Danio rerio: one gene and its partners. The protein of the gene in region 2 purifies or fractionates together with the protein of the main gene of each other region. This does not show direct contact. Links are inferred from orthologs where the notes say so. Each region holds a gene or a part of one and is shown on either strand. Other genes may lie near its edges. The genes, in order: ppp2r5a, axin1 and dvl1b.

Region 1 (10,280 bases), on a different chromosome or scaffold from region 2:
CAAAATAGTTGTTTGGTGCTGCGAAAAAAGGCGGTATAAAACTAGATGATGCGACCTCACTAAAAAGTATTTATTGTTCCATATTTTACATTTCTGTACAGAGAGGTCATGTCTTGAACTTCTGTTGGTCTCTCGCATTTACAGGCCAGAGTTCACCAAAATTGAACTTTGGAATGCAGTAACTTGCGAAACTACTAACAGGACAAACTTGCGTTTCCTGCCTAGCACATTTTCGTACCTATGAATTAAAATTCTATGGGGCAAAAATGTAGCGTGACCACAGCATTAGTGTCAGGAAAAAGCTTGTCAACTAACAATGTTTCCCCTTATTTTTATTAACAGTTATAACAACAATGATTTGATGTTTTTTAATATAATCAATTGTCCGCTTTTTCAGTGGCCTCAAATATGTTTGTTTTTTGCCTAATAAAGAGGACAAAGTTTGAAGATTTAGACCTATTAAACGTTGCAAATAAAAAAGTGTTTATTAATATATCAAGTTTTGTTTCTGCATCAACTAAAACTGCAGACTAAAAGATCAATCATGGAATTTAAAAAATAATAATGATTTGTTTAAATTAAGAAAAATTAGGCCAATAAAACAAATCTAACTGTGCTTTCAACACTTTGGACTGCACTCTGGTTTATTTGGCGTCAAAGTACAGTGCGTTTAGCTAGTGTGAATGTGTCTTCTGAACTCGGGTGTGCACCCACAAATCGTACCCGAGTCTGAGGTGGTCTTAAGTATGGTTTGTGCAAACTCTCGTACCGTTTACTGATATGACTGCAATAGAACCAAATAGCGGCAGTGAACCGTCAACTGTACAACATACTATTGTTTTCATTGCGTTTATTCGTGTGTTTGTATGTTGCCTACCTTGGTGACAAGCGGGACTGAGTCAGTGCAAACAGTGATAATGTCTGCTTTTCTCCACCAAAACTTCTTGTGATGTTCTGAATGTTTTAATTTTTTTATTATTTTTTTTCAGGCTGATATTTGCAAGTGGCTGTGTGTTTTAGTTTTGGTAAAAAAAAAAAAAAAAAGTCAAATTATATGGATATGCAGTTTTGGAAACTAAACTCTTCAGTACGTTTTTCATTCAAATACCATAACACCTCACAGTTAAGAATAGAGTTTTTAAATTTATATTTCAAAAGATTTTTTTTTTTTTTTTTTTTTTTTTACTTGATCATTAAAGACTCTTTAAATTCTAGTATTAGAGTTTCCACAATGTAAACACAATATTAACACTAAGAAATCTGTCTTCATCATTAAATCATGTTTTAAAAATTTCGGAAATATAATGTGTTGCAAAACACTAAAGTAATTGCTGCTGATAAATCAGCTTTTGCGTTTTAGGAATAAAAAAAATTTTAAGTTTTCTTTTTGTGTTCATTTTTCACAATGGAAGGGTTAAGGGAAATGCCTTGGTATGCATCTTTTAAAAAATGCATATTATATAAAAAAGCTTCTGATTCTTGAAATACATTTTCAGTATTAATTTGTTTATATTCTTCTCTCTAGGCAGCAGTCTCACCTCGTCCCATGAAAGTTTTCTCTCCACCAACAAACAAGAAAGCATCACCTTCCAAACCTATGAAAAAAATCTCAAGCTACTTTATGAAAAGAACCCAAGACTGACGTGCATGGGTGCATGCCTGCATGCCTGTGTGCGTGCATGTTTAAAGAGATTACAAGTGTCTTTCATTCTACACATTTATGGTTTAAATTCAGTTTCAGCTTTTCTTGTAACTGAGCTTCAAACCAAACCTAGAAAAGATTTGCAGATTCTGCCTGTATTTATGTATGTAATGTGTATTTTTTTATCTAGTTGTGCATTTATTTTTAAATGTGTAAAAATATTTTTCTAGAAAAGGGTCAAATGTATGATCATTTACAGTCATTTGACACCACAGTTGAATTCTAAAGTTTCTCTGATACCTTCATGTCTGTCAGACAGTTTGAAACACTTTGCTCCATTTAACATGCTTTTTAAACTATATTAAATTATATTTGGGTGTTATAATCAGTGTTATATCATACTTTATTTTTTATTCCAATTCTAATACTTATTTCCAAATGTGTAATGCCCTTTATTTGAGATTGTCCTTAAACGTGGGTCACATTTTCAGTTCTCTATTGATTGTAAAGCAGCACTTTACATAACTAATCCATTTCCAATTAGCCCACTGCTTTTTACGTATTGAATCTCTATAATGCAGTAGGGTTTTTTTTTTTTTTTGTAATGATTTAAATACCTTTTACATTATAGCACAGCCTTTTTTTCTTTTTGTAAGTTTGTGTGAATAGCTAGAATGTCACTTAACTAGAAAGATCTGCCTCAAAGTTTTCATCCTGCTTGTTATTTTGTTTTATTTTCACTATATCTTCAGCATGGTGGGTCAGATATGCTTTTTGCATACAGAAACTTAATTTTAGCTATAGAAATATGCCTTGTTCACCTAGACATGGCCTAGCAAACAATTTTAGATGTCTGTTAGGTATCAAAACGTTGAAGGATTGGCTAAAACAAGCCTAAACTTGGGCTGTCATTGAAAATCTAATAGATTAATCTAATATAATAGCCCAAAACTATAGTCGTCAAATAGACAGATTAGACTATGTGTGTATTAATTTCTGTTTATGTAATAACTAGTCTAGTTTTGGCATATTCTTAGACATCCATTAGATTTTCACTGACAGCCCAAATGTAGCCTTGTTTCAGCTAAGACCACTGTCTAGACGTATATTAGACATTTTTTATAAACAAAAAAGGAAGTTGTTTTAAACATTTTCTGTAAAAATGTGATCGTTTAAATTATTCTCATAAAAAAGTTACATTTATTTGCGTTCTAACTACGAATATTGATTATGCGTTTGTTTTATTTCTCAATTTGAGGATTGTCCCTTTCTCCTTTGACAAGGCTCCAAGTTCAACTAACTCTCACAGTGTTTCTCTTTAAAATGTTTAATTGTGGACGTTGTTTTTCCTGTATGTTTGTTTTATTTTATAATTTTATTTATTTATTTTATTATTTTTTTTTTTTTGAGTGGTTGAACGTTTGTTGAAGTTTTGTTGCATGTTTTCATGCGAGTTCAAGGATACAGTATCTTTTTATTTGTGTGTTTCCCTAAATACCATTAAAACAAGAATCTGATTGGTCAGTGGGCGGAGCTTGGTGTTTGTGCTGGCGCTCGTTGGACGAACATGCTGTCACTCAAACGCGCCACGGGGTTTTATTTTTAGACTCCATTGAGGCGCAACAGCAGCTGAATGAAGTTCAGCGGGTCTGAGGAATTTTACCCTCGGCGGATTCGCATTAAACTCTTTTCCTCATATGGAGTGTCTCCTTGGATAAACGCGACTGCATTTTTGTACTCGACATTGTTATATGGTTTTGTAAACATTTAAGCATGATAAAAGCACGTCAGTAACTAACGTCTACGTTTATACGTCATCTTAGGGTACCTGTGGATCATCATGCAGCCTCCGCGAGTGGGCTGACAGTGTCACATTAGATGGGGTCTCGTGAGTTTAATGCATAGCACAGTCAATGGGATGTCTGCACTCAAGTCTAGAGAACATTTAGGGCACACTCGTTCACTGTAGGCGCAGCTTTTTTTTTTTTTTTTTTTTTTTTTTGCTAGATCTGCTCTGGAAATGTCGGCGATTTCTGCGTCGGAGAAAGTGGACGGGTTCACGCGGAAGTCTGTGAGGAAGGCGCAAAGGCAGAGGGTATGCCAGGGCTCGTCTCAATTTGCGGTCAACAGCAGCAGGCCTGCGGCTCCAGAGATCTCGGCGCTCCCGCAGCTCAAAGGTAAGAGGATAAAGCTCTGCAAATATACACTCGCGGGCTGCGTCTTAAACACTGGGCAGCTGTCTAAAATATAAAGGAGCTCCTATAAAGGAAGTTCCCTTCATAAAAATGTGCTGTCGTTTATAGGAAGCACTAGTGTTTTTGAACCACACTATAGTAAAGTTTATTCGGGATGTTTACTGCAGGTATATATTATAGTGTTTATCTATAGCAAACTGATATACTAATAAATAATGTGGTATACTGGTGTATTGTAGTATGATATAATGTTACTATATTTGTAGAAGGTTTGTACAGTAACAATTTGTTTGTTAATGTTACTGTATTGCTGTTTCAATAGAAACTTTAGAATTACCACAACACAGTAATTCAAGTACAACTATACTATATAAAAGCCACCATATTTTCCAGAAATTACTTTAGTTAGTTTTTTTTTTTATGTTGAAAGTAATCAATCTTGGCATTACAGGTAGCTTGAGTTACATAATCAAGTAACCAAGGTTTGCGTTACTTATTACCAAAATAAGCAACGGTGAACTAAAATATGACTTTTTTTTTTCCTTCAATTTTATACGGTTCCTTTTACATCATTGATGTTGTAATGCAATTAAAATATAATCTGTTAAAAAGACTTAAGCGTTCATTTAGTTATCTAAATGAACTTAGTTCATATTTCAAAGACAAAAAAAAAAATAATTTGATGCAGTGCTTTTTCTATATTCTTAGACCTGCTTTATAGCGTATAGCATTTAGGCAGTGAAGATCCTTGATTTTTAAAGAAAACAGTTCTTATAAATGCACAGATTTTGTATCTGTTCACCGGAAGCACTTGACCCTGGTTACTGCAAAATTAAAAGGCCATCCGAATACTTCTGCAAATATATCCTATTTGAAAAAAAAAAAAATGGTGAGCAAGTGTAGAATACAAATGTATGCATTGAGCACAAATATATTCATACTGTAATTATACCTTAATTGGGTTGGTACACCCCCCTCCCCCAAAAAGTCTGTTATTACCCCTACTTCGTTCCAATCTCGTAAAGGGGTGTTCCACTATGATATAGTGATTGGAATTTCAGATCATTTTATTGACTCGGATCTTTGAGTCTCGTTCGTCGAGATGAACAAAACTTTTATCGAGTCATTTCGTTTATTTGGTTCAATTTTCCAAAAGAATTGCTTCCAAACACATCTACAACTAGCCCAAAAGGTTGATTACACAACAAATAAGTCATAAATAGAATACTATAAGAAGGAGAAAATAATAATTCAATGTTTACACGCTCTTTTGTCTATGAAGGTATTGTGGTCTCTTTGCTTAGCTCACCTCTTCATGCCTTCAAATGTCAGTGGTTCGTTCACGTTACACTGACAGTCACATATAATCTTAATTAAAGTACACAATCTGAGCCAATAGGAGCCATGATAATTAGTTCACCTTTTCGAGTCTTCGAGTCTTTCATTCATCATGTGACAGAATGACTCAAACCCAAGAACTTGATAGGTGACCGGATCAATTATTTTTCCGGCTCTAAACGCATATGATTGGCCTGTGAGGAAAGAATGACTCAAACCCGAAAGAGGACTCGATAGATGAATGGATCTATTCTTTTACCGACTCTAAACGCATATGATTGGCCTGTGGGGAACGGATGACTCAAACCCGATAGACGACTTGAGAGATGAACGGATCAATTCTTTTTCTGTCTCTAAACGCATATGATTGGCTTCTCCCTTTCCGCGATGAACGACTCAAAAGATACCACCTGCACAAATGTATGCACGCGCGAATGAATAAATCACTCCCTGAGAGGGCTTGTAGTTCAGAAGTCATATTAAAGATTCGTTCAAAATGAACGAATTGTTCAAGAACGACCCATCACTACTATGATATCATATTTTAAACACTTAAAGGGTGACGAAACACCAAAACACATTTTTTAAAATGTTGACACTTGACAGTCGTATATGTGTCCCACACTGCTAAAAACACTATTAGGACACATATATCTCACTAAAAAGTAAAAATTAGTTGTTTTTGCGTTATTTTGAGCAAATTCGTACTTCCGGTTTAAAACTAATTTTTGAAGCTGCATCACGGCCATGAGATCTTAGCGTGTATTCCAGCTTGCAGACGGGACGTCTGTACCTCAGCGTCCCGTATTATGTTTCTGAGTGTGTTGCATTCATTCATGAGTAAGGCTTGGTTCAAACCAATCAGAGCGCTCATTATGTATGTTGCTGCATGCAACTTCATTAATATGCATGCTAGCTTTTTTAGACTGTACCTGAAACAGTGTTCAGACGGCAGAGAGACAACACACGTTGTGTTGCCAAACGTTGTGGGAAAAGAATAAGAACTGTTTGGAGATACGGGTCGCCAGTGTTGCTTTCATCATGTGAAGGTTTTATTTCATTTTCTCTTCATGAGAGCGCTGCTTAACCCACGTGAGAGGAAAAAAAATTTCTCACATCAATAGTGAGATCCGGATTTGATGCTCCAGTATGTGCTGATTGCCCTGTCTACAGATTCTGTAAGTTTGTGCAATCAGTGCCCTTTCTTTCTTCATTCAGATGGCAAAGTTATAGTTCGTATGGTCGGCAGTACTCTTTCAGTGTATAAAGACAGACCTTAGTCAAAATGATTTCTAAGTTACTTAGTTTACAGTACGTTAATATCACTACAATATTGAAAGATCCGCTGTAAATGCTGCTCTCTGAGTGTAAACACGTGAACACTGTAAGCAAACTTTTGCCGACCGTCGTGTTAAATTTTTGCTGCATTTTGTGACAGGATAGTCTACACACACACAGCTTTCTGACCTACTGAGTGCATATGAGTTACAGAGAAATGCAGAGGCTTTTTTCTCTTATACGACGTGTGGTATCAAACATTTCACTGTCATTAAACACACTGTCTTTCTTCCCTGCGTGTGTGTTTGTTTTTTCTCGGTTCTCAGCGCGTGCCCAAATGGCAACTCCCATTTTTATTCAAACCCTGCCCATTTTCCCTCCCCCCGACACTCCCACCCAAACAGAGCTAGACACACCCACTTTCCTGACTTTTTCCAAACTAGAGGTGTGAAAACAAGGCCCGCCCTCAAGTGACTGATTGGTCATCTATCATAGAATGCTGTGATTTGCAGATTGGCTCCAACAGTCAGTCAACCTCATGCCTGCCTTCTAAAATAAAATCTGACAAGTGTCTGCGTGTGTGCGTGTGTGTGCGTGTGTGTGTGTGCGTGTGTGTGTGTGTGTGTGTATGTGTGTGTGTGTGTGTGTGTGTGTGTGTGTGTGCGCGTGTGCGCGTGCGCGCGTGCGTGCGTGCGTGCGAGCGAGAGAGAGAGAATTGCCTGTAGACGCGTGTAACACGAGAAGTGCATGTCGGGACCAATGTCTCTTTTTCTCTGATGCTCGGATTAAGTTATTTTCTGTAATATACAGTATCACTGTTGACTGAAGAATAAAGCACAAGATGTGGGATGCAACCTGTGTGAGCCTTGATTGATTTTTCTGCTGCAACACGAGTAAGGCGAGTTCCCCTGTATTTTTTTCTACTCAATGCATTACACAACATTTTTACATATATTCGGAATATGCATGTGTAAGTAATATGAATCATTAACATATCTTTTGCGAGTTCATTATCTGAGATGTAGAACGCAGTCACACGCATAGAGAGACACGCACATGCTGGTGTGTGTTTTCACAGCGGTTTGACTAATAAATATGAATTTGTAGCTAAATTGTCAGCAGTGCCAAACAGCATTTCCCGTTGTTTACATCTTTGCTACAGCAGACTGTTAACGCTAGAAATTGTACATGTCATGATCAATTTTAACACATAAAAACACATATAGATTGTGGCTTAGAGTTCACAGCCTCTGCTTGTTGGAGCTGCTCCTTCTCTGAGGAGATTTAACTGAATCCAGCACTGAACTAGGAGAGATTCTGGAAGTTGTGTTTAGTCAAATCATGCTTGCTGTGTTAGGGTTGGGCGATGTTGATCAATTTGGCATCGTACAATGTCTAATGTGAAACATCGCGATGAACGATGCCATTAATAATGAATTAATTAATTGTAGTCTACCATTTTCACTACATGACCCAGATGATCTTTGCTTTACATATAACCAAACCATAAATAAAGTTACAAACAAATGACCACCTGTCAATCCATTTTTTCCGCAGGACTCTGTCATGAATAGGCACAGTGATCTGTGTTGTTCTAATGGCTTTTTCCCAAAGCCGGTGAAGGAGATGAGAGTTTGGTTGGAGTTCACTGTAGTTCATACATTTTCATAGTTTTCCCTGCAAAATCCACACCGCGTGCGCAGATTTAGGAGACATTTATGCAGAATGTATCGTTGCACCTAAAAACGCTAAGCGCAGCACTCAGGAACAGATTAAAACAGTTGTTATGTGAACTTGCTGAAGTAAAAAAGCCAGCAACGCTTGCCCTGCCTTTGTGCTCTTATTAATGGCTCACTGCTCTAGAACTGAACATGAATGATTGGTTAATATCTCCTGTCAATCACTCAGTCAATGCCTTCTGCCTTTAGGACAGGAGCTACAACTGTGAAAATGTGAAGATGAAGATGAGAGAATGAAAATAACAAATAAATAACACATTTACCTACAGTTACTAATAATAGCAGATCTTATTAGTGATCATGTGCTTAATGTTAATCCCCCATTTACAAGAGAGGATAAAAGACTTCCAATGTCCAAAGTCCGCTATGAAAATGACTAAAGCCACTCACTATAAAGTCTGTGGGACGGGGTTTGCAGGTAACAGCATTTTCCATTGAATCTACACAATTTAAACGCAAAAGGAGCTGTATATTCTTTCATTTAATTCTCACGATGTTGTCAGCCGTGCAAGCGGCAGCTATATGTAACATGTACACAGCTCATGAAAAGACCGTTATTAAAAGATGACATGCAAATCATAAGTTGTATATCATCAAGGTCTTCTTTTGCATTGAACTATGAACATTTTACATGCAGATATGTTGTTTATGTTCACACTGCTACATTACACAACAACTAAAGTTTGAAATATGAAATCGTTGTAGACCATCCCTTTAAATATTTTAGATGAAACCCGGGAGCTCTCTCATCCTCAATAGACAGCAAAGTTCCCGAAAAGGAACCAAAAGCTTTCCACGTCACTCAACTGTAGTCAAGTTCCAAGAAGACTTCAGATTAATTTAGAGTTACATCTTTTTACCAAAATGAGTATCGGCGATAAAGTTTCTTACCCCCTTCCACTTTTTTATTCACTGACTGCACTCATATTACAATATTTGAAAGAAATAAAAGAATGCAGATGTGTGCCATGAGCTTAAAATTATTCTTACTGTAGGTATACGTTAAAACTGGTTGGTACAATATATATATATATATATATATATATATATATATATATGTATGTATGTATGTCGTTCAAATCCTCCTTCGTTTATCTTCAGAACACAAAAAGGAACTAAAACATGTCAAAACAAACATGTTATTTAGCTGTAGTCATATGCAAGTTCCAACGAAGACATTTGAGTGATAAAAAAAAATAAAACGTTTGTAAAAACTTTGACAATATCTTCCTTATTTGATAAGGTTGTGTGTTTATCATATGCAATATGATGCCTGCTTTTTGCACCATGGGACCGCTGTCTATGGAGAATGAGAAAGCTCTTGAATTTCATTTAAAATATCTTATCTTAATTTGTGTTTTGAAGATGAACAATGGTCTCAAAGGTTTGGATTGACATGAGGATTGATAATTAAGAGAATTTTTATTTTAGGAGAACTAACTATTCATTAGTTTTCTTTTTGGCTTAGTCTTTAACCTTTATTAATTCGGGGTCGAAAAGTTTGTTTCAGCTGTGCCCTCAACTGTACAGATGTGGATTCACATTACTTAGGCTGGTTTTCACTTTACATTTAATTTTTGGTGTAAAAGTGACTTTCAAAAAAGATGTTATAATACAAAGCAAGACCAAAACCAAACAAGTAACATTCCCCAAAACCAAAGACTATAAATAAAACACATATGTAATTATAAAGCTTACCTGAATGTTATATGAGTCTATCCAGTCTTTAAAGTAATATTTTTTGCATTTCTGATAAGGTACATGTGAAGTACAGTATTTACAACAGGCCCATAAATATGTCTGCTGGAAGATTCATGTGTGTGTAACCTGTAATTACTGATTGCATCATCATGTTGTATTAGAATTTCTTATCATTGGTTCTTATTCATGCTCCAACCATTGTTTTCCCTTATTTTTCACTTTTTTATGCATCTGGAAGTCATGTGGTTGTCGGTTATAAGTGCATTAGTGCCTGCCCACTTTTTAGATGTCTTGGTTTTGAATGTATTTTTCCTTTTTTGTCACAAAGGGGTTTTTAAAGGTAATTCATCATTACATTACTTTGATAACTTGATTACTTTGAGGCAA
Region 2 (10,180 bases):
ACGATGCTGTTGAGTCAAGCTTTATTGCAATACTGTGATTATAAAGCTTATGAGAAAAAGCACAATGGTGTATATTCAGACGAGACAGGGAATTTTGACTGTATGAGAATGAGACTGTGAGGGAATAGTCTAAGTCTGCATTCAAATGTGCCAACTTCATTACTATACAGTATGTCTGTGAAAAAAGAGTATGTGAGCTGAGTAGTATATTCATAGTACTCATAAATCAGGCAAACAGTACCAGGATGACCGAAAACTTCTGATTCTGTGATGCAAAATCTGCGATTTCAGTCAGCAAAATTTCAGCTAGTTTTTATTTCTTGATTTGCAACAAACAACCAATAAACACAATAACACAATAAACAGTTTTAATCAAATTAATTTGTTTTATTTGTTCATTTTAATCATATTTCTGTATTATTTATTTAATATACTGCTTTATATTCATATTTTAAAATTTACACTAATGCGCGGGTGACACGTTGGCTCAGTGGTTAACACTGTCGCCTCACAGCAAGAATGTCATTGGTTTAAATCCTGGCTTGGCCAGTTGGTATTTCTCTGTGGAGTTTGCATGTTCTCTCTATGTTCACTTGGGTTTCCTCCAGGTGTTCTGGTTTCCCCCCAGTCCAAAGGCATGCGGTACAGGTGAATTGGGTAAGCTAAACTGGCCATAGTGTGTGTGAATGAGTGTGTATGGGCGTTTCCCAGTACTGGATTGTGGCTGTGTAAAACATAATTGAATAGTTAGCAGTTCGTTCCATTGTGACAACCCCTGATACATAAAGGGACTAAGCCAAATGAAAATAAATGAACGTGCACTTGGTTGATCTTTGATTGTTTTAGCTTTTTTGAATAAGTTAATTAAATAATTAGTTTTTTTTTTATTCATTTTTACATTTTTGATGCTTTTATTCCCCCCAAATTTTCCCCTGACCCCCTTACTATTCCTCAGATGTGGAAAAACCCTCCCTTAAGTCCATATTACTAACCATAGTTTTATTTTAGTAGTTTAGTAGGCTAACCATTTTTATGTGTATCGATTATAATTTGTAAAATCTTTTTTTTAACTTAAAATGTGGTTACCATTGTTTAACAAACAAACAAACAAACAAACAAACAAACAAACAAACATCTGTTTTATATGTAGCAAAACCATAGTTAGTTTTCATTAGGTCTGAATACATATATATATATATATATATATATATATATATATATATATATATATATATATATATATATATATATATATATATATAAAGTTGAAGTCAGAATTATTAGCCCCCCTAAATTATTAGCGCCCCTGTTTATTTTTTCACCAATTTCTGTTTAATGGAGAGATTTTTTCAACACATTTCTGAACATAATATTTTTAATAACTTATTTCTATTAACTGATTTATTTTATCTTTGCCATGATGAAAGTACATGATATTTTACTGGATATTTTTTCAAGACACTTCTATACATTTAAAGGCTTAACTAGGCTAATTAGGTTAATTAGGCAAGTTAGGGTAATTAGACAAGTTATTGTATAACGATGGTTTGTTCTGTAGACTATCAAAAAAATAATAATAATAATTTAGCTTAAAGGGGCTAATAATTTTGTCCTTAAAATGATGTTTAAATTAAAAACTAATTTTATTCTAGAGATAAAATAAACATGACTTTCTCCAGAAGAAAAAATATTATCAGACATACTGTGAACATTTTCTTGCTCTGTTAAACATAATTTGGAAAAAATATAAAAAAAGAAAAAAAGGGGACTAATAATTTTGACTTCAACTGTATATAAGCATACAATCCATTGTAAAGAATGTACTTCAATCCCTCACAGTCTTGTTTTTCAGTCTTGTTAAAATTAAGCATGGCAGTAAGTACATGTACTGTGTTAATAATGTAAAGAAACCATATGTAGGCCTACATTAACCCTTGAACTGCCCCAACAAGAAAAAAAATATTTTCTCTTAATGTCACTAGTTAACACACTTAATGCAATTTTTTTCCATAATTTCTAAAATATCAATCTCTACTAAATGGTTGATATGTCAGTTTATGGTAAAAGTACCGGAATTATACATTTACGATGAAAAATCAGAAAACGAAGTGTAAAACCAATTTACTTAAAAAATAATCAAAATAAAACATTTTTGAATACTAAATCACCTTTATTTTTTGAAGTATGCCATAAAATATTTCAGATTAACATGTTTTTTTTTTAACAATAAAACCAAAATCAAGTGAAGTAGTGCAACAGGATTATGTCTTGATTGTTTTGTAAATGAACAATGCTGTGTGTACGTGTAAACCATTATTTAAATGACTTAAACAGTCAAAACAAGGTCAACCATTTGGTAGATTGGGCAGTCAAAGGGTTAAGTACATTTTCACAGGTGGTGTTCACCTGCATTTTTAAATTATAAATTGCATTTGATTTGACATTAAGGGGAATACTTTTCACCCCCCTTCTTCTGTCATAATGCACAGCAAGAGTTTTAAAGCCAACGATAAACTTCCGGTGAAAGCTTAATGTGAGTATTTTCAATTTCACATGGTTGTTTTTACAGCATCGATGTTGTCATTACAATACATTCAGTTAAATAGACTAATCATTTAGCAATCATTTAGTTGCTCAAGCATAAAATAAGATGAAAGACCGTTGTAACCGCAGCATTAGGCTGGCGCAGAAATTTCTTTGAAAATGTTGGGGTGAAATAAACTGTTAGCAGGGGGAAATGGAATTTAATGCAGTGCTTCTTGTCCGATCTGAGACCCACTTCATATCATATATATTTAACAGGCAGTGAAGATCGCTGATTTTTATAGAAATCAGATCTTAAATGTGAAAGTTTTGTAATGGAAAGACAGTTCAGAGGAAGCCCCCTTGGGCTGCCTGGCTGAAAATGAAGTCTGTATGCATATAGCCGATTAACAGTGTGTTTTCACTGCTGTCGTTTTAGGGTGTTTTATTGTTTGTATGTTCATACATTGGATGTCAAGTGACTGCTTTCAACATCCTTCAGAATATCTTGTTTTGTGTTTAACTGAAGAAATAAAATCATAAAAAGTTTAGAACCACTTGAGTGGAAGAAAATGGTGAGGGAATTTTCATTTTAGGTGAACTATCCCATTTAATGGAAATGTCTGTAAACTAGCCCTGACAGGAAATCCCCAATACCTTTTGCTTTTATTTATTTACTTTACACACCATAGAGTGTATATTGAGCTTATTTTGTTTAAATCAGCGCCCGTAAAGTAATAAACACAAACGGTCAACACAGCTGGTCATGTGATGTCAACATGGCGGCGTCCATAAGGGGGCGACCCGCTCACCCTAGCCTAAAACAGCTCTTCCCGAAGACTCCAAACGCGTCTCATCATCAAGTGTACATCACTTTAATTACGCCGTTTCCTTCCAAACCTTTTAATTAGCAACTGCAGACTGACAGCACCTTCGAGTGCGGCGTAAGAGGATTGAAGGCGCTCCTCTTCTTCTTCGTCTTCTCACTCCAGGGTTTCCTCGCCTTGATTTTTCTTTTCTCCAGGCGGCAGTGTGATTTCTGGCCGTGCGCGGCGCTGCACATCTCCAGCTCCCCTCTCTCTCTTTCTCGCTCACTCGCACACGGGCACAGGAGTGCGAGAGACAGCCATGGAGAGGTGGAGAAGCGACTGTTTTCTTTGTTATTTTTAAACTCCGAGATCCGCATCGATGACACGATTCACATCTCGCCGCATACAACGCTATTCCCGATGCGCTCGAAAGCGGAAAGTAGGTTCTCACAGGTACAGTACGGAGCACTTTTTTCTTTCCTTCTCCTGGCTTGGGTGTAATGGGGGTTTGCGGTAACGGAGGGAGAGAGAGAGAGATAGATATAGAGAGATGAAATGCACCGTCGCTTTTTCTCGCTGCTCGCGCCCGAATCCTCCGTCAGGTCGAGAGCGCGCTTATAATGCTCTCGCGCTCGGATGATCGGCGCGTGTTGGAGTGCGAAAATCAGTGTTGCAAAGTTGCACACTAGTCCCTGGGCTGCGGAAGGGCCTGGCTGTGTGTGTGTGTGTGTGTGTATGTGTGTGTATGGAGTTTGTTTCTTACTTTCCCCTCCCCCATCCGCTCCTGCTGCTGCTGCTGAGGCCGAGACATGAATGCGATGAATGTGGGGCTCACTTCAAAGCAGATCGCGAGGGCAGCGAAAGGGGTGTTGTAATGTCGTCAGCGGAGGAAAAAACGCAGCGATCCGTTTTTAGATGGCCGCGCCGCGTAACGTTAAGTGGGATGATCGGCGTTTGCGGTGCGTAAAGATGGCTAGCGTGCTGTGACAACGTGTTCTCACACTAGTTGAGTCGGATCCGTGGAGCGGATCAGCGGGGAGAGCTCGCTAGAAATGTCGGCTCGTGCGCTCAAAGATGGTGAAAGTGTTTTTTTCGCCGTCTACGCTCACTTGTGAGGGAAGGTCTCGCGCCGCACGTACTTCCTCCCCTCGCGCGCTACCCTCTTTGATGCGGTTGATGTTCGTCATATTTGTTTTTGACTTGTGCTTGTTGTTTTTTTGCGTCGTAGCTGTACACAATATACACTTCTAGTGTGGTTTAATTTAGATAACAACATCCCCGTTTGCGTAAAATGTTTCTAAATGCGCGTCTCGCGCTGGATTAGCCTGCTAGCTCATCGCCATTGAAGTTCGCGCTGTTAAAGTTATTGACTCGGAAAGCTCAAGGTTTCTTTCCTCCCCAGCTCGCTTATCAAGCACATCAGACGCAATCTAGTTGGCAGGCAGTCACAGGTTTTAAGGTCGGAACTTGAAAGTGTTGGATTTATGGTGTCATAAAGCGTGTCACAGGTGAGTTCAAGAGTGTTTGTGCCATGATGGCTGCCCCCTTTTTGCTATCTCTGCTTTAAGATAGTCGCCCGAGGCCACTGGAAGTTTGATGGGCTTGTAGCGCTGTGCTGTGTTTGATTAAACTTTGATAACACTGGTTTTATGTTGCCCGAAAGGTCTACTGAGGTGTCATTACCGTTTGAGTTGCTGTTACAATGTTATTGACTATTATCTGATTAGTGCCGTGGTTCTTTGTGGTGGCATTTAATTTAGCTGTAATGTTTGTTACATGTACTTACTAATGCAGTGCAGTACATTAAAAGCAACTAAAGTTGTTTTATAGTTAGTACATTGTGAATACATTTAATGATTTCTGTATTTTCCTTGTAACAAGGTATTGAGGTAAAGTTGGTTTTATATTCACACATTTAGACCTCCTTAATAATATAATTTCAGCAATGCAATTTTTGCAATTTATAAATAGTTAAAACATGATGTACAACATTATTCACAGTCAAATAAATAGTGCTAATGTTGTTTTGAAGTCATAATTACATCTAATTTCTGACTGAATGTTCAAAGTATCATGGTTAACACTATAGGGATAATTTCACAAGTTGTCATTGAACAAATGTGTGAAAATAAAAGCAACTTTGCCTTATCATCTTGTCTTATAAAGGTGCATAATTCATATAAGGGATGCGTTTTGTGACAGTGAAGATTCTTTAAATACGGGTTACATCAGCTTCATATGGTATGACCCAGGAACTAAGAAACAGTACATGCACTTACTATAACAATGCAGTAAATGAAATGCACATAACTACAAGCATTTCCCAGTGATGGGTTGCAGCTGGAAGGGCTTCTGTTGCGTAAAACATATCCTGGATAAGTTGGCGGTTCATTCCGCTGTGGGGACCCCGGATTAATAAAGGGACTAAAGCAAATAGAAAATGAATGAATGAATGAATTACAAGCAGCCAAAGTTGTCTCATAGTAAATACATTGTGAATGTTGCCCTATACTGATTTGTTTATATTCTCTGTAACGGGGACACCTTATGTAAGATGCAACCTCATCATCTTGTATTATAAAGGTGCATAATTCATGTTAGGGATGCGTTTTGTGACAGTGAAGGTTCTTTAAATACTGGGAACATCAGCTTTTAAATATGGTATGGCCCAGGAACTAAAAGAAACAATAGATGTGCCTTCTATAGCAATGCAGTAAATGAAATGTGCATAATTACATGCATTATCCAGTGCTGGGTTGCTGCTGGAAGGGCTTCTGCTGCGTAAAACACATGCTGGATAAGTTGGCGGTTCATTCTGCTGTGGCGACCCTGGATTAATAAAGGGACTATGCTTAAAAGAAAATGAATGAATGATTGAATTACAAGCAGTCAAAGTTGTCTCATAGTAAATATGTTGTGAATATTGGCCTATACTGATTTGTGTATGTACCCTGTAACAAGGACACCCTTATGTAAAATGTAACCTCATCATCTTGTCTTATAAAGGTACATAATTCATAATAGGGTTACATCCGTGACACTTGAGACCCTCTAAGTGATCCAAAAATGGTAACTTACTGTATGTGTAGGGCCAGACAGAATCTGCGGACATTTTTTGCCATTTCTGCAGAGAATTTAGTAAAAGTTGCGGATTTACATGGAATGATTTTAGGAGTATCCTAACTAAAAACTTAATATATTAAATAAAATCCAATTGGATCCACTTATTTAATAAACTCTCATATAATATATCTACTAAAAGACCAAAAGTATTACTTAACTGTATTATTATTATTAAATCATGAACATTTAAAAATGACTATTATTAAATCACAATAATATTAGTGAAATCATTACAGAAACTGATTAAAAATAAGTTTACACACATTTACACAAGTAAATACACCACAAGTAAATATGTAGACTCAATGATAGGCTGGAAATCTGCAGATTTCTGCGTGCGCGGATTCCGTGTGGGGCTACTCATGTGTAAGATATTTAATTACATTTATTTACAAACCTGTGTTTTTGAAACAAATGAAGATGGCAGAATGATCAATTCGATGATGTGAATTATTTAGCCTGACATGCCAGCAGGCACACCCAAATTCATGTCAGTCACTTGATTTTTAAAATAAATGTTCTGCAAGAGCTTTATTGAATGCTTTCTTTTTTCTCGTTGTCTTTCTCATGCAGGAGGAATTCTTTCGCAGTGGCATTAATAGAAGTCTGGATATAAACTTTCTGCCTCGTGGGCTGTACTGGGACAGAGTGCAGGGACACTATGAGCATGAGTGTAAACGAGAAGGGCATCTGTTATCTGCCAGACCTGGGCAGCAGCTTCACTGAGGATGCCCCCAGACCCCCGGTCCCTGGGGAGGAGGGCGATTTGGTGTCCAGCGATGGACGGCAATACAACCACAGTTTTTACTCGTCCAAAAGCGACAGCCTCAAGAACGAGGCCTCCATAGCTACGCCTAGACGACCCGACCTGGACCTGGGCTATGAGCCCGAGGGTAGCGCTTCCCCAACGCCGCCCTATTTAAAATGGGCGGAATCCTTACACTCGCTGCTGGACGACCAAGACGGCATCCACTTGTTTAGGACTTTCCTCAAGCAAGAGGAGTGCGCGGATATGCTGGACTTCTGGTTCGCTTGCAGCGGATTCCGCAAGCAAGAGGCCAACGATGGCAACGAGAAGATGCTGAAACTCGCGAAGGCCATTTACAAAAAGTACATCCTGGATAACAATGGAATCGTATCCCGGCAGATCAAACCCGCCACCAAGAGCTTCATCAAAGACTGCGTGATGAAGCTGCACATCGATCCGGCTATGTTCGACCAGGCGCAGACGGAAATTCAGACTATGATGGAGGAGAACACCTACCCTTTGTTTTTAAAGTCCGACATTTACTTGGAGTACACCAGGACTGGCGGAGAGAGTCCCAAACTGTTTAGCGACCAGAGCTCGGTGTCAGGCAACGGCAAAGTCTTGCCGGGCTACTTGCCGACTGTGATCGAAGACGTGGAGTGGAGGTGCGACCAGGAGGAGGAGCAGATCGCGGAAAGTGACCCCACTCCCAGCAACAGGCTCACCCAGAAGCTGCTTCTGGAAACGGTGCCTCAGCGGGTGGCCAACAGTAAAAGATATCAGGACAACCGTGAGTACAGGTAAATCCCTGCAGCTTTGAAAAAAACTCCTCTCTCTCTCTCTCTCTTTCTGTCTTCTTCCATCCCCCTTCCCCCTCGCGGTGCAAGCGCAGTCAGAAGAAAAAGATAAAACGGGAATCTGAGTTAAGCACAGCCTTCCACAGGAGATGAGAGGAATGCAGTATAGGCAGAAAGCTCTAAGTAGCTGCGACTGAGCTAGCAAGACAGATACTGGGTCGCAGCGTTGTCTTTGCCTACTGCGAGTTGGTGCAAGTGGGTGCTCTTTGTGTTCTCCATGCAGGTGTCTCTTGAATGGCAGGCTTTGCAGCAGAATAAAGGTTTCTTCAGGAGAACCACAACACGGATTCTCTTTAGAATGGGCACAAAGACGCTGCACTGCATATTTAGTGCAGGAAAGAGAAAGCAATGCACAGCACTCCAAAAAGTTTGGCAGCATTGATTTAACCGGTGCTTTTACGTATATCTGATCCGGTGCCCTTTGAAGCCCAGTGCTGCGTATGGATTCGGTGCGTTTCTGAACGTGTTTAGATCTCTATCTCTCATGCCACCCGTGGTTTGCGTGCCGAGCGAGCGTATTGGAATGTGTGCTTCAGGTATTGTATTTTGTAATGAATTTTTGCTGCTCAGACATTCCCCAGGCATTCCTCGCCACCAGTTGTGACGGCCCATTGTGCTCTTTTAGCGCACGGAGCTTTCTTGTTCATATCGTGCATCGCGCCGACATCGTTTAATCTGCAGAGACGTGCTTTTTAAGCCGCACTGTGAAATTTACAGCAAATCACTTGATGCATCAGAGCCTCGAGTCCCTCCATATGAGCAAAATGGGATTTAGAGATGTGACTGCTAAATACTTTAATCCTTGTCCTGCTGGAATAGAAAGCGGTGCATGTGGGCCTTTGAACAGCCTCTGCTGAAGATTACAAAGCTTTCCATCCCAGATTTAAAAGCAAATATCGACAGGTGCATTCACCGTGGCATATCAAAGCAATAACTGCTCCAGGTATGCAGTGTTTGTAGGCCTTTGCCAGAGTACAAACAATTTTTGGTTGCAGTTTACGTGCGCTGTTATTACTCTAGCTGCTTTTATGCTGTCAGGTACACACAATGCAACATATTTAATACATTAAATGCATCTTACCACATCACAGTCCAGAAAATCAGAAGTTGACAAAATTATCAATCAGTCCAATTAATAATTGGTTATTTATGTCAAGAACTGTTCTTTTTGCACTTACAAGGACAATATCTTCTCTGTGAATCTGTTTTCTATCATCTCAAATAATTAAATGCAACCAATCTGAGTTTTTTTTTCAAATGTTACCAATGCTATTAGCAACAATTCATTATATTTGCATACAAGATGTACTTTACTAAAGCTGTGTTTCTCAACCACGTTCCTGGAGGATCACCTTCTCTGCATATTTTCCATGTCTTTTTAGCTAAAACACACCTGATTCAGATCATCAGCTCATTCACTGAGACTGAAAGACCTGTAATGGGTGTGACAAAGGGGGCATCCAAAACATGCAGTGTTGGTGGTCCCCCAGGAATGTGGTTGAGAAACACTGCACTAAAGGACCTTAATGTGGAGTAGGGCAGCAGAATCATGATTAAAACATGCAATTTACTCCCCCATAGACTTCCATGTAAATGCACGCAAATGCGGTAATGCAAGCTCATGCGACAAGTTTCGCAGTTCACTGCATTGCAAATTTTAAGCTTGGTGAAATTGCATCACGTTACTGTGAGAGACCAATCGAAGATCAAAACATCACCTCAGTGTACAGAAATTTAAAATATGGACCAATCCCTGCATTTTTTAAATGTTTAAAATCGTCTTTATTTTTTGTGCAGCGCCATACGACAGAATTTTGCAAGCTCAATTTCTAGTGTGACTGCATCACAACATAAGTCTTTTTAACATAGTTAAAATTGTAATGATTATTCATGTCAGTTTATAATAGAATACTTATTAAAATAATTTAGAGTTTGAGCAAGTAGCATATTCTAGCTACACATGACATATGCAAGTCAAATATTAGTCTAGTGCTACTTGTGGACTTTTCACATTAATCACTTCATGAATCACTTGCATATCTGCACTTTGTTTTTTATAATGAGAGATTCCATAATAATTCTGTCAGTGAGCTTGAACACACTTGACAACTAGTAGGCTG
Region 3 (10,280 bases), on a different chromosome or scaffold from region 2:
CATTTACTTTCAATGTTTTTATTTTACAGAAGTTTTTTCCAAGTCTGCATTACGCCCCTATGGGTTATGACATCAAAACAAAATCCGGTAACACTTTATAAAAACTACACCCTCATTTATTAAGCATTAGCATCTACTGTATTTATTACTTGTTAAGCAATAACTCTACATTAATTAACGTTAGTAAGCAGTTTCTAAAAGCAGCTACAAATATTGTATTCTTGACTTATAACTACTTTTATAATGTGCTTAATAATTGTACTTTTATCATTTGTGACTGGTTGATTTTTCATTACTAAATTCAGTATTGCATTATTTACAAACCATTTGTATTTAAGAGTAGTTGGAAGTTTTTAAGATCATTTAGAATGAGTTAATAAATGATTAATAAACTATTGTAATCAACATGTACTGTATATATTATTAATCGGGCAACTACTAATAGTTAATTGCTTCTGTTAAAAAATGCTTTATTTACTCGACTTCATGCAGTTTTGTCACCTGATCTAAAGTGAGGACTATTTATGCTTTATAAATCCCTTATAAATGGCAATTAAAGCCTCAGTATCAAATGAACAATAATCTTTGCAATCTTATCTAAAAAGCAAAATTACTGTAGTTTAAACATTGCTGAATAACAGTAGTGTCTAAATATGGCATCAAATTGGATAAAACAACAACAGTAAAAAATATATGCAATGTTCAAACTGTACAGTAATTTTATTTTAGTTAAGATTGCAAATATTTACCAGTTTCGTTTCGTTTGTCTTTAAATGATAGAAAAGTCGTTTATGTTTTTTTTTTTCCTGTTTAGTATTGAACTGACCCTTTAATTGTCATTTAAAAGGGATTTATAAAGCATAAATAGTCCTTACTTTAGATTAGGTAACAAAACTAGATCAAGCTGACTTTATAAAGCATTTATTAAGATACAAATTGCCTATTAGTATATGCCTGAATAATAAAAAATTATAAATATTAATTTGAATGGTTAATTAATCATTTACTAACTCATTCTGAATGATCTTAAAAAAACAACTAACTATGCTCATATAACTGCTTTGTAAATAATGCAATACTTCATTTAGTGATGAAAAATAAATCATTTACAAAGTATGAAAACAATTATTAAGCACATTATAAATGTGCTTATAAGTCAAGAATGGAGCATTTGTAGCTGCAGTTATAAACTGCTTACTAACGTTTATTAATGTAGAGTTGATGCTTAACAGATAACGAATTCCCTATTTGCTAACGCTTAATAGATGATTCATAGTATGCAGTTATTATAGTGTTACCAAAAATCCTTATGTGTTTAAACAAACTCACCAATGAGCTCATTCTGATTCTGCTGTTGATTCAACAGTCATTTAGTTACCTTTCTGAATATATATTTGATTATTAAACATCTATATAAAAAAATTTATAATTTATAAATATAATCTCAGTTTTACAAAATGCTACATTTATTTGTGCCACACTATTGTGATGTTACTCACTCATTGCAATAAGGTCCTATATTTCGTTTTCATCATCTCTTATCTTATCAGCATCTCTTATCACTGACAATTTGCTTGGAAGGAAACCTACTACTTCTGCCCTATTTTGTAACCTATATGTGGAAAGTGGCAGCTGTTCACAGAGAGGATGACAATCACATCAGACTGCTCAGACAAGACTAGAGTGGATAATCTTTCCAACAGCAAAACTTCTTTCCTGCCACCAGAATGCATTTTATATGGAGCCTCATCAAACAGGGTGCCACAAACCATCAAAACATTTACTAATACAAAATGGCTGTATCTTAATATGTGTTCTTCAGCTATCTTGCGTCTTACTGTACTCATATAACATCATCATCAACCGTCAAAGTTCAGTTCCAAAACAAAGACTTTAAGAACTTCCCAGATGTGTTCTTGATATCGAGGATGCTTCAATGCAGACCTGAGAACAAAAACCACTCAAGAAGTCCCAGAAGTCATTGCGACTGAATAAAAGAGGTTTGAATCGCAGCACATTATATATATTTATAATTTAAGTTCAGGAATAGAACTCACTTATCTCAGGAGTTTCTTTGAATGAGATGGTGAAAATAAACAATTGAATAATAAATAATTGAAATTGTTTGTTTGTTTGTTTGTTTGTCTTTATTAATCCGCAAATGGGAAATTCACGTCACAGCATAGCTTTCCATACTAAAATAGATCAAATAAGTTACATATATATAAAAACAATAATAAAATTACAATTATACTATACATCAGTTCCAAAAACAATGAGTAAACACTTGTCCATATCTAATAATGATTATAATTAGTACAAATCATCTGGTGTGACTTTGGTGAAACAGTCTGATCACTGTTGGTAAAAATTACTTCCAGTATCTTTCTCTGTAACACCAGGGTTGAATTAATCTTGCACAAAAAGAGCTTGCACACCCTTGGACCATATCAAAAAGGGGATGACTATCATGGTTCATCATGACAAATTTGTCCAGCATTCGATCATCTCCTTTATAGTGGGTAGTGCACACCCCACAATAGAACCTGCCCTTTTTAAGAGCATATTTCATTTGTTCTTCTCCTTCTCCAACAGTCCCCTTCCCCAGCAGCTTACAGCATACAGGATCACAGAAATCACCACAGGATCATTAAAAGTTTTAACAGTGTCTGACACAAGGACCTCAGTTGTTTTAATGAATGAATCTGACCCTTCTTACCTGAATTGTATTTTCAGACCAATCAAACTTAGATATACACCCAGGTACCTATATGATGAAACATTCTCAATTGCTGACTCCTGTCTAATCACTGGCACCGCTCGTGGTGGATGTCTACTGAAATCAACAATCATTTCTTTGGTCTTATTAGTATTTAATAAAATATTTAAACAAAGGCATAAACACATTAGGGCTGTTTATTTGCTGAAATTTGTATCAAAATCTGTTTTATTTGTATTGGGCAAAGTATATTTGTAAGGTTTTTGTGCATGTTATATATTGAAAAGGGGAAAAACATTAAATCGTATGAATGTGGTAATGTTTAAATAATTTTCTGTTAAAAACGTGTAAAGATCATGTGACCATCAGGAAAAATGCAGCATCTCATTTCTCAGAGGACGTGTTCTGTGTTTTCGCGGTCTCCCAGGTGCGTTCTTTCGTTCACAAGAACGCAAGTCCGTTCTCTGCGTTCTTGAAATTGAGAAACAGCTATTGTCTCTGATGAAACACAACTAAACCAAATAAGTAGGATCTGAAGGAGCACTTGGTAATTAACAACAGGTGTGTTCAGGGTTCAGGGTTGCAGCTGAAATCTGAAGGAAGGTAGATCTCCAGGAAAAGGATTGGGCACCCCTGGTCTAGGCAAAGAAAATGACTTCGGATTTACATCACAAATCTACAGAGACCCGAAAGCCATGTGATGGTGGGGAAATAATGGGTGGGAAAAAAAAGAGTGATAGGAAAATATATTTTTATGTTCCCTCACAAAGTTTTACTTTAGTAACTGTTTGAGATCAAAATATTATTAGTTGCAGACATGTTTACATATTATTAAGTGTATTTTCTGTAAACACACACCCAAAACTCAAAGTGTCCTGCACGTTAGCACCTCTTTAAATGGCATGTACAGAATCTGATCTGGGATCAGTTTATCATACGAAGCGCGTCCGTCAATCAGTCAGTCAACGCTTATGCATTCACTGATTTAGGGGTTGCATAGGAAGCCCGACAATTGACACAGAGCTTTAATGGAAAGAAAATTGCAAACATTTTTATATTCATTTCAATGTGTTTTTAAGATTAAAATATGGGAGAAATATGGGAAAATACTTGAACAAGATGATAGTGGGATAGAGCGGGAATATATACGGCAAAAACGGGAGGATTGATATGTATGAAGTGAACAGGAAGTGTTTCGGAACAAGTTTTGTGAGATAATGCAAAACATTTTTGTGAGATAACACAAATATCTTTGAGAGGAAATGCAAAAACTTATTTTTTAAAAATATTTTTGTCCTATCACTCATCATTTTTTTTTTCCACCCATTTTTTTCCCGACCATCACATCCCTTCGGAGTCGCTGTATAAATCTAATGGTAGAGCATGAAAAACAAAGTATCGATGTTCAAATTTGGCAGGTTTGGTTCAATCAAAACAATCTCTGTTGTGACTGCTCTTGTTAAAGCTTTTTCAGATTAAGCAGCAGAGAGAGTAAAGATTTGTCCGACCACTGCACAAGCTTAAGGAAATCAGAAATTATTAAATTGAGTCAGAAAAGAATAACAAGGTGATGTGTATGAAAAATGGTGCCATTATTACTTTTCATATTTTGATAGATATGAGTTTGACTCAAATTTGAAGTATTTAAAGAGTTTTATTTATATTGTTTATGCACTGAGATTTAAAGGCTTTTAAAGAAGTAACTAAATAACTTTTCAGACAGAGTAATTAGAAAAATAATTCAAAAACAATTTTAATGAAGTACTTTGTAATTAGTGATTAATTACTTTGTTCAACTTACCCAATGCTAATTACAGCACACAATTTATGCTTAAACCTTTACTACAAAATGTAAAATATTGTATATTTTGGTTCAGCCTTAAATCGAAAACATGAGCAGTGTGAACGCCAAGTGCAAATATATCATAATCTTTCTTAGCAGGACCAAGAGAACCGAACTACAAGTGTGAACACACCCTAACAACAGCTTGGCCAAGCTAAGATGTATTCCTATTTATTTTATCCCAGTAATCCAGCGAAGAAAGATTTCATAAGCTGACAGAAAATAAATCAACAATATAAGCTGACAGAAAACACAGACACAACAAGAAGTCCATAATATACAAATAAATCAGGAGTCAATCATTTTTAGCCAGTTAATGCTGGTTGTCTTGAAAGGTCAAACTTCGGTTACCATGCAAAACAAACCAGTTCAAAATTCAAATCACAGAAGCAAAGAGACGGACTGTACGTCGCGCTACAGCATATTGGACATGACTCTATCTGTCCTGATGCTGAGCCCACAAAGGAGGAGATGATGGTGATGCTGATACAGACATCATCAGCACTGACAGGCAGGTGCCAACGTGACAAAACCATTACCGCCATCAATGACAGCTTCGTTCTGCATACCACAAATGAAGGAACACAATAACACCTGGCATCCTCTCACTCACCCGAAATCCTGGTCCATAGATTTGAAGAAGAATTTATAGCTGTTGACCGGTCGGTTGCTGAGGACATTTTTGAAATCCGCCAAAGTTACCTTCTCCGGAGCCACTGACAGTTTGACTAAATAGGGAGTTTCCTCCTCGTCTATGTGGTATATGATTTTAGTCTCCGCCATGAGAATATGGTGAGAACAATTGCCGGAGAACAGCGCGTGTTCCTGATGCTGCCTGCCAGTCCAGACGTGCGGCGACAATAAATAAAAAGGTCTGGGATGATGGATGCTAAATGAACGCAATCACGCGTTTGGCGCGATTGAAGCTATGGATTAAGCGACATTTTAAAGCTAGGGATAAGAGCAGAGCCATTATGGAGGCCTGATAGATGTCTGGTGCGGCTCACTATGCGGAGGTTTTGCTGCCTGTGTTACTGAAACAGGAAGGAAAGGTTCACATCCTTGAGAGAATCAGGCTGGAATATCCGAGCTGTTCTCCGGCGCAGTGCTGCCATCGTGCGGTAGACAGAAGACAAGACATGGCCAGTCTGGACTCCAGCGGCAGCGGGAAATGAAGCGGTAAATTAAAATGATTTGACTAAAAAATATATAAATATAATTATTTAAATTCGTTTTTTTTGTTTTTGTTTTATATGTTGGTTTTTTCCTAACAATGTTTAAGGTTTCCTAACAAGGGTTGATGTTTTGATTCACCTTTTGCTGAGTCGGTTGGATTATTTGATTCACCATTTTCAATGCCAGTTTGAGGTTTTGATTTGTCATTTGTGTTGTGGATTTGAGTATTTGATTTATAGTTTGAGCATTTGATTTATTATTTGGGTAGTTGTTTTGAGAGTTTGATTTATTATTTGATTTTAGGCATTTGAATTTTTATTTTTATTTTGTTAGGAAAAAACTTCCATAGTTTTGTGTGGCATTGTATGAATCAAAATGTAATGTATATACAAATTAATATAAGTGTAGTAAATGTGACACCCCCTCATTGTTTTAGATTTAGTTTTTATTTATTGCTGCTCATATAATCAAGTTATTAATGAATTGTGGTGCACAAAAAAGAAAAGAAAACAACTGGGAACTGTCAATCATATTAGAAAGCAATTTACTTAACATTTGCTTATTTATATTTATTAAATGATGTTGTATTTTGTTTCATAGAATTAAAAAAAATATTCTCAAAATTCCCAATTTTGATTCGTATAATTTTATCTAAAAAAAAGTGTTAGTAATTTTGTTGTTTGTTTGTTTTTGGATCTGTATTTAGTCTGACCTTTTTATTTTTATTTTATTTTCTGCTATTTTAAATGTAACTAAATGAAAATTGTACATAATTCCTTGGTGAACTAGTCGAAATTAAATTAGTTTCTTGTTTTTCTTTCTGTTAATGTTTTTTTTTTTTTGTTTGTTTGGTTGTTTCATTTACCAAAATGATTGTAGTTTCATTGTTTTTAGTTTATATTTATCGCTGCTCATAATCAAGCTTGTAATTAATTTTATATGGTGCACAAAAAAAAGGAAACAACTGGGCAGTGTCATATCCGAAAGCTATTAATGTTTGCTTCTTTACATTTATTAAATTATGTTTATGGTTCATAGAATTTAAAAAATAATTTCTCAAAATTCCCAATTTTGATTTGTATAATTTTATCTGTACAAAGTGTTAGTCATCTTGTTGTTTGTTTGTTTTTGAATACATTTGTATTTACTTACTTTATATTTAATAAATTATGTCATATTTTATGGTTCATAGTTTATTATAATTCCTTGGTGAAGTAGCTGAAATAGTTTCTTTTGTTTCATTCATTCATTTTCTTGTCGGCTTAGTCTCTTTATTAATCCGGGGTCGCCACAGCAGAATGAACCGCCAACTTATCCAGTATGTTTTTACGCAGCGGATGCCCTTCCAGCTGCAACCCATCTCTGGGAAACATCCACACACACACGTACACTACGGACAATTTAGCCTTCCCAATTCACCTGTACTGCACGTCTTTGGTCTGTGGGGAAAACTGGAGCACCCGGAGGAAACCCTCGCAAACACAGGGAGAACATGCAAACTCCACACAGAACTGACAACTGAGCCGAGGTTTGAACCAGCAACCCAGCGACCTTCTTGCTGTGAAGCACTACCTATTGCGCCACTGCGTCGTCCCAGAAATAAAAAATAATTTCTCAAAATTTTGACTTTTATACTTTTATCTAAGGGTTAGTCATTTTGTCATTTGGTTTTGTTTTTATATGTTTCTATCATTTTATTGTAATTTTGATTATAGTTTAAGTCACAAAAAAGAATTACAGAGATTTCTTAGCCTTTTGTGGTTTATTTTGCTGTTTTTATTAATAATTCTTCTCATAAACATATAACACACATTCACTCAGAAAAAAATGTATTTGTTTGAATAATAATTATTAATAATGAATTAGATCTTTGTCATTATATATATGAACATTGTGTTAGACATTTTTCAGTGCTGTGCGTCAAATATAAAATGTTTTAATGCCTGAATTATTGTTTTGACAGTCCTGATGTCACTCCAGGCAAAATCACAGGAAATGTCAATCAAATTAAGCAACACTACAGTCATCGTCTTATTGCAGTCCATTAGACATTTTGCTTTTTGTTGAATTATAACATCTCTTCCCAGTATCAAAAACATCAAGCCTATTGATGCACTTGAGCCTACAATGTAATATGAACTGAAAAAAAAAACCTACATCAAACCAAAGTAATCCAGAGGTTAACTTTTATTTGAATTTATTTGATTCTGCTTTGAACATGGCAGCGAACTCGAAAATAAGGTCATCAATACTAAAACTGCTTCAGGATGAGAATAATCAAGCATCCATTATATAGCATCAAACCAGAAAATTCCTCCTGCAACCTTGTGAAATTCTTACACGGAAGCTTTAAAGAAATTCAAAGGGCAGTTAAAGTGTCATGAAATGATCATAACAGGCATAAGCATTGCTTCATAGCTTCACCTTAATAAGATACAACTACGCATAACACAGATCTGAGTAACCCAGAGAAGAAATGTTCACGGCTATGAATATACACAGCCGTGTACAAGCTGCTAAAATAAAATTGACTTCATGTTGTACCTTAATGGATTAGCATCAGTTTCACTCTAACTTGTTTGCTAATGAACACAAAGCTGGCGGTTAGAAGAGAGCATGGAAGCAAATACATTGAACTAATAGAATATTCAAACAGTGACAAAGAAGTTAGTAAGGCTTGTAAAGTTAATATGAAAATATACAAATGATAACAGTATTTGTTGGTGACAGGATATAAATGAAATGAAAGAAATGTAGCTTGTTAAATGGTAACAGTCATCAAAATGAACAAAAAAGAAAAGATTTAAATGCGTTTACAATATTATCCTGACTTGCACTATGAAATAATTTGACTAAATTAATTGTGCTTACCTGTAAAAGTGTAGGTTTAACATTTATAACATAATTTATTAAGCCTTTTTGATGTTTTAATTCAACCTGGGCTAAATTATGAGCTTTTACATGACCAAACAGACCAAATTCAGCTTTATAGGCAAAATATAATTGAGTGTGATTTAATTAAAGGAGTAGTTCATGCAAAAAAAGAATTTTTACTCATTATTTACTCTCCCTCGAGTGTTTCCAAACATTTACAAGTTGTTTTCTTCTGTTGAACACATAAGAAAATAATTAGACTTTAGAATTAACTTCCCTAGAAGGAAAGTATAGAAATCAATGCTTACATGTTTTTAACATTTTTCTAAATATCTTCTTTTGTGTTTAACAAAAGAAAGAAACCCAGAGTTTTGTAAGTCAGTAAGTATTCACAGAACTTTTATTTTTCAGTAAATTATCCCATTTATCCTTTATTTAGCATTTATAACATAATTTTTTAAGCTCTTTTAATGTTTAGTATCAATCTGGGCTAAATTATAAGCTAAATTATGGGTAAATTATCCATCTTATCCTTTATTTAACATTTATAACATAATTTATTAAGCTTTTTTAATGTTTTGATTCATTCTGGGCTAAAATAGGAGCTTTTATATGACAACACAGACAAGAAACAACAATATTGACTACAGAACTTTTATTTTTGGGTAAATTATCCCTTTTATCCTTTATTACACATTTAGAACATAATTTATTAAGCTTTTTTAATGTTTAGATTCAATCTGGGCTAAATTATGAGCTAAGTTATGGGTAAATTATCCCTTTTATCCTTGTTTATATGTCTGCGTAATGCTACATTTATAAATTACAGCTTTAAGAATGCACAGTTTAAACCTGCTGAGAAAAAAAGATGTGATTTTGCTATAGCTTTTGCAATATTTGTGGCCATACTGATTTAATTACCAAATTAATCACCTTAAAACTGTAAAAGTGTTGCACGGTATTTGATTCCATATCAAATAAGAAGTTTATACCGTTTTAAGTTTGCTATATATTTGTGTCACAGACATGTTTCGTTCTCAGTTAGTGTAAATCTCCCATTGTAAACATTCAGACACTCAGGACACATCAGTCTGTGTGTGTTTACTTCTCACTCATAAAGCGTGTGACAAATGTAGGGAATAAAATGCAGACTGTGTTATTATTAGTGCTGTAAAATGTTCGTTTGCCATTATTTTAATATATCAGTCATCCGAAATACTGCTGGTGAGACTCTTTTGCTTCCTGCAAGCTTCACGAGAGCAATGGAGGATCTTGAGTCAGAAAAAAAATTGTACAGCTGTGTCCCTCTCTCCTTTTCCTCTTATTCCCTTGCCACACTCCTGCCTCTCAGCATTTCATTCTTCTTCCATTTTCAATCTGCCCCTGGACCAGCCAGTGGCAAAGTACCTCTCATTTCCAAGAAGCTTTTTCCATCTCTGCAAAGAGAAAAATAGAAAGAGAGAGAGAGAGATGGTGTGAATTTGGACACACACACACAATATAGCATTGATACATACACAAAATGTTGGTTTTATTCTCTACTAAAGACATTTATTCAAAATAACTCAAATACAATAAAATGCTGTTTTTTAGAGTATTTATATTGCGTAAAGGTGACATGTTTTTAGACATGATTATATTTGTTTTTAGACAACACCTATACCAATG

What was found.
Region 1: the proteins of axin1 (region 2) and ppp2r5a purify together in Homo sapiens (affinity purification with western blotting; 3 studies listed by BioGRID and IntAct, with this or other methods). This does not show direct contact. The link is inferred for Danio rerio from reciprocal best matches to the Homo sapiens genes AXIN1 and PPP2R5A.
Region 3: the proteins of axin1 (region 2) and dvl1b purify together in Homo sapiens (affinity purification with western blotting; 3 studies listed by BioGRID). This does not show direct contact. The link is inferred for Danio rerio from reciprocal best matches to the Homo sapiens genes AXIN1 and DVL1.

What each region holds. Positions count from the first base shown.
Region 1 is NC_133195.1:14,409,008-14,419,287, forward strand, and holds the start of ppp2r5a (serine/threonine-protein phosphatase 2A 56 kDa regulatory subunit alpha isoform), read left to right. Parts: upstream 1-3,246; 5' UTR 3,247-3,662; coding exon 3,663-3,819; intron 3,820-10,280. Other genes in the region: dtl (denticleless protein homolog), read left to right, coding at 1,526-1,642. UniProt on the Homo sapiens protein: The B regulatory subunit might modulate substrate selectivity and catalytic activity, and might also direct the localization of the catalytic enzyme to a particular subcellular compartment.
Region 2 is NC_133178.1:42,712,978-42,723,157, reverse strand, and holds part of axin1 (axin-1), read left to right. Parts: intron 1-3,616; exon of another isoform or gene 3,617-4,840; intron 4,841-7,028; 5' UTR 7,029-7,116; coding exon 7,117-8,003; intron 8,004-10,180. UniProt on the Homo sapiens protein: Component of the beta-catenin destruction complex required for regulating CTNNB1 levels through phosphorylation and ubiquitination, and modulating Wnt-signaling.
Region 3 is NC_133186.1:26,529,367-26,539,646, forward strand, and holds the start of dvl1b (segment polarity protein dishevelled homolog DVL-1b), read right to left. Parts: upstream 5,621-10,280; 5' UTR 5,346-5,620; coding exon 5,176-5,345; exon of another isoform or gene 4,941-5,175; intron 1-4,940. Other genes in the region: mxra8a (matrix remodeling-associated protein 8a), read right to left, coding at 10,023-10,048. UniProt on the Homo sapiens protein: Participates in Wnt signaling by binding to the cytoplasmic C-terminus of frizzled family members and transducing the Wnt signal to down-stream effectors. Plays a role both in canonical and non-canonical Wnt signaling.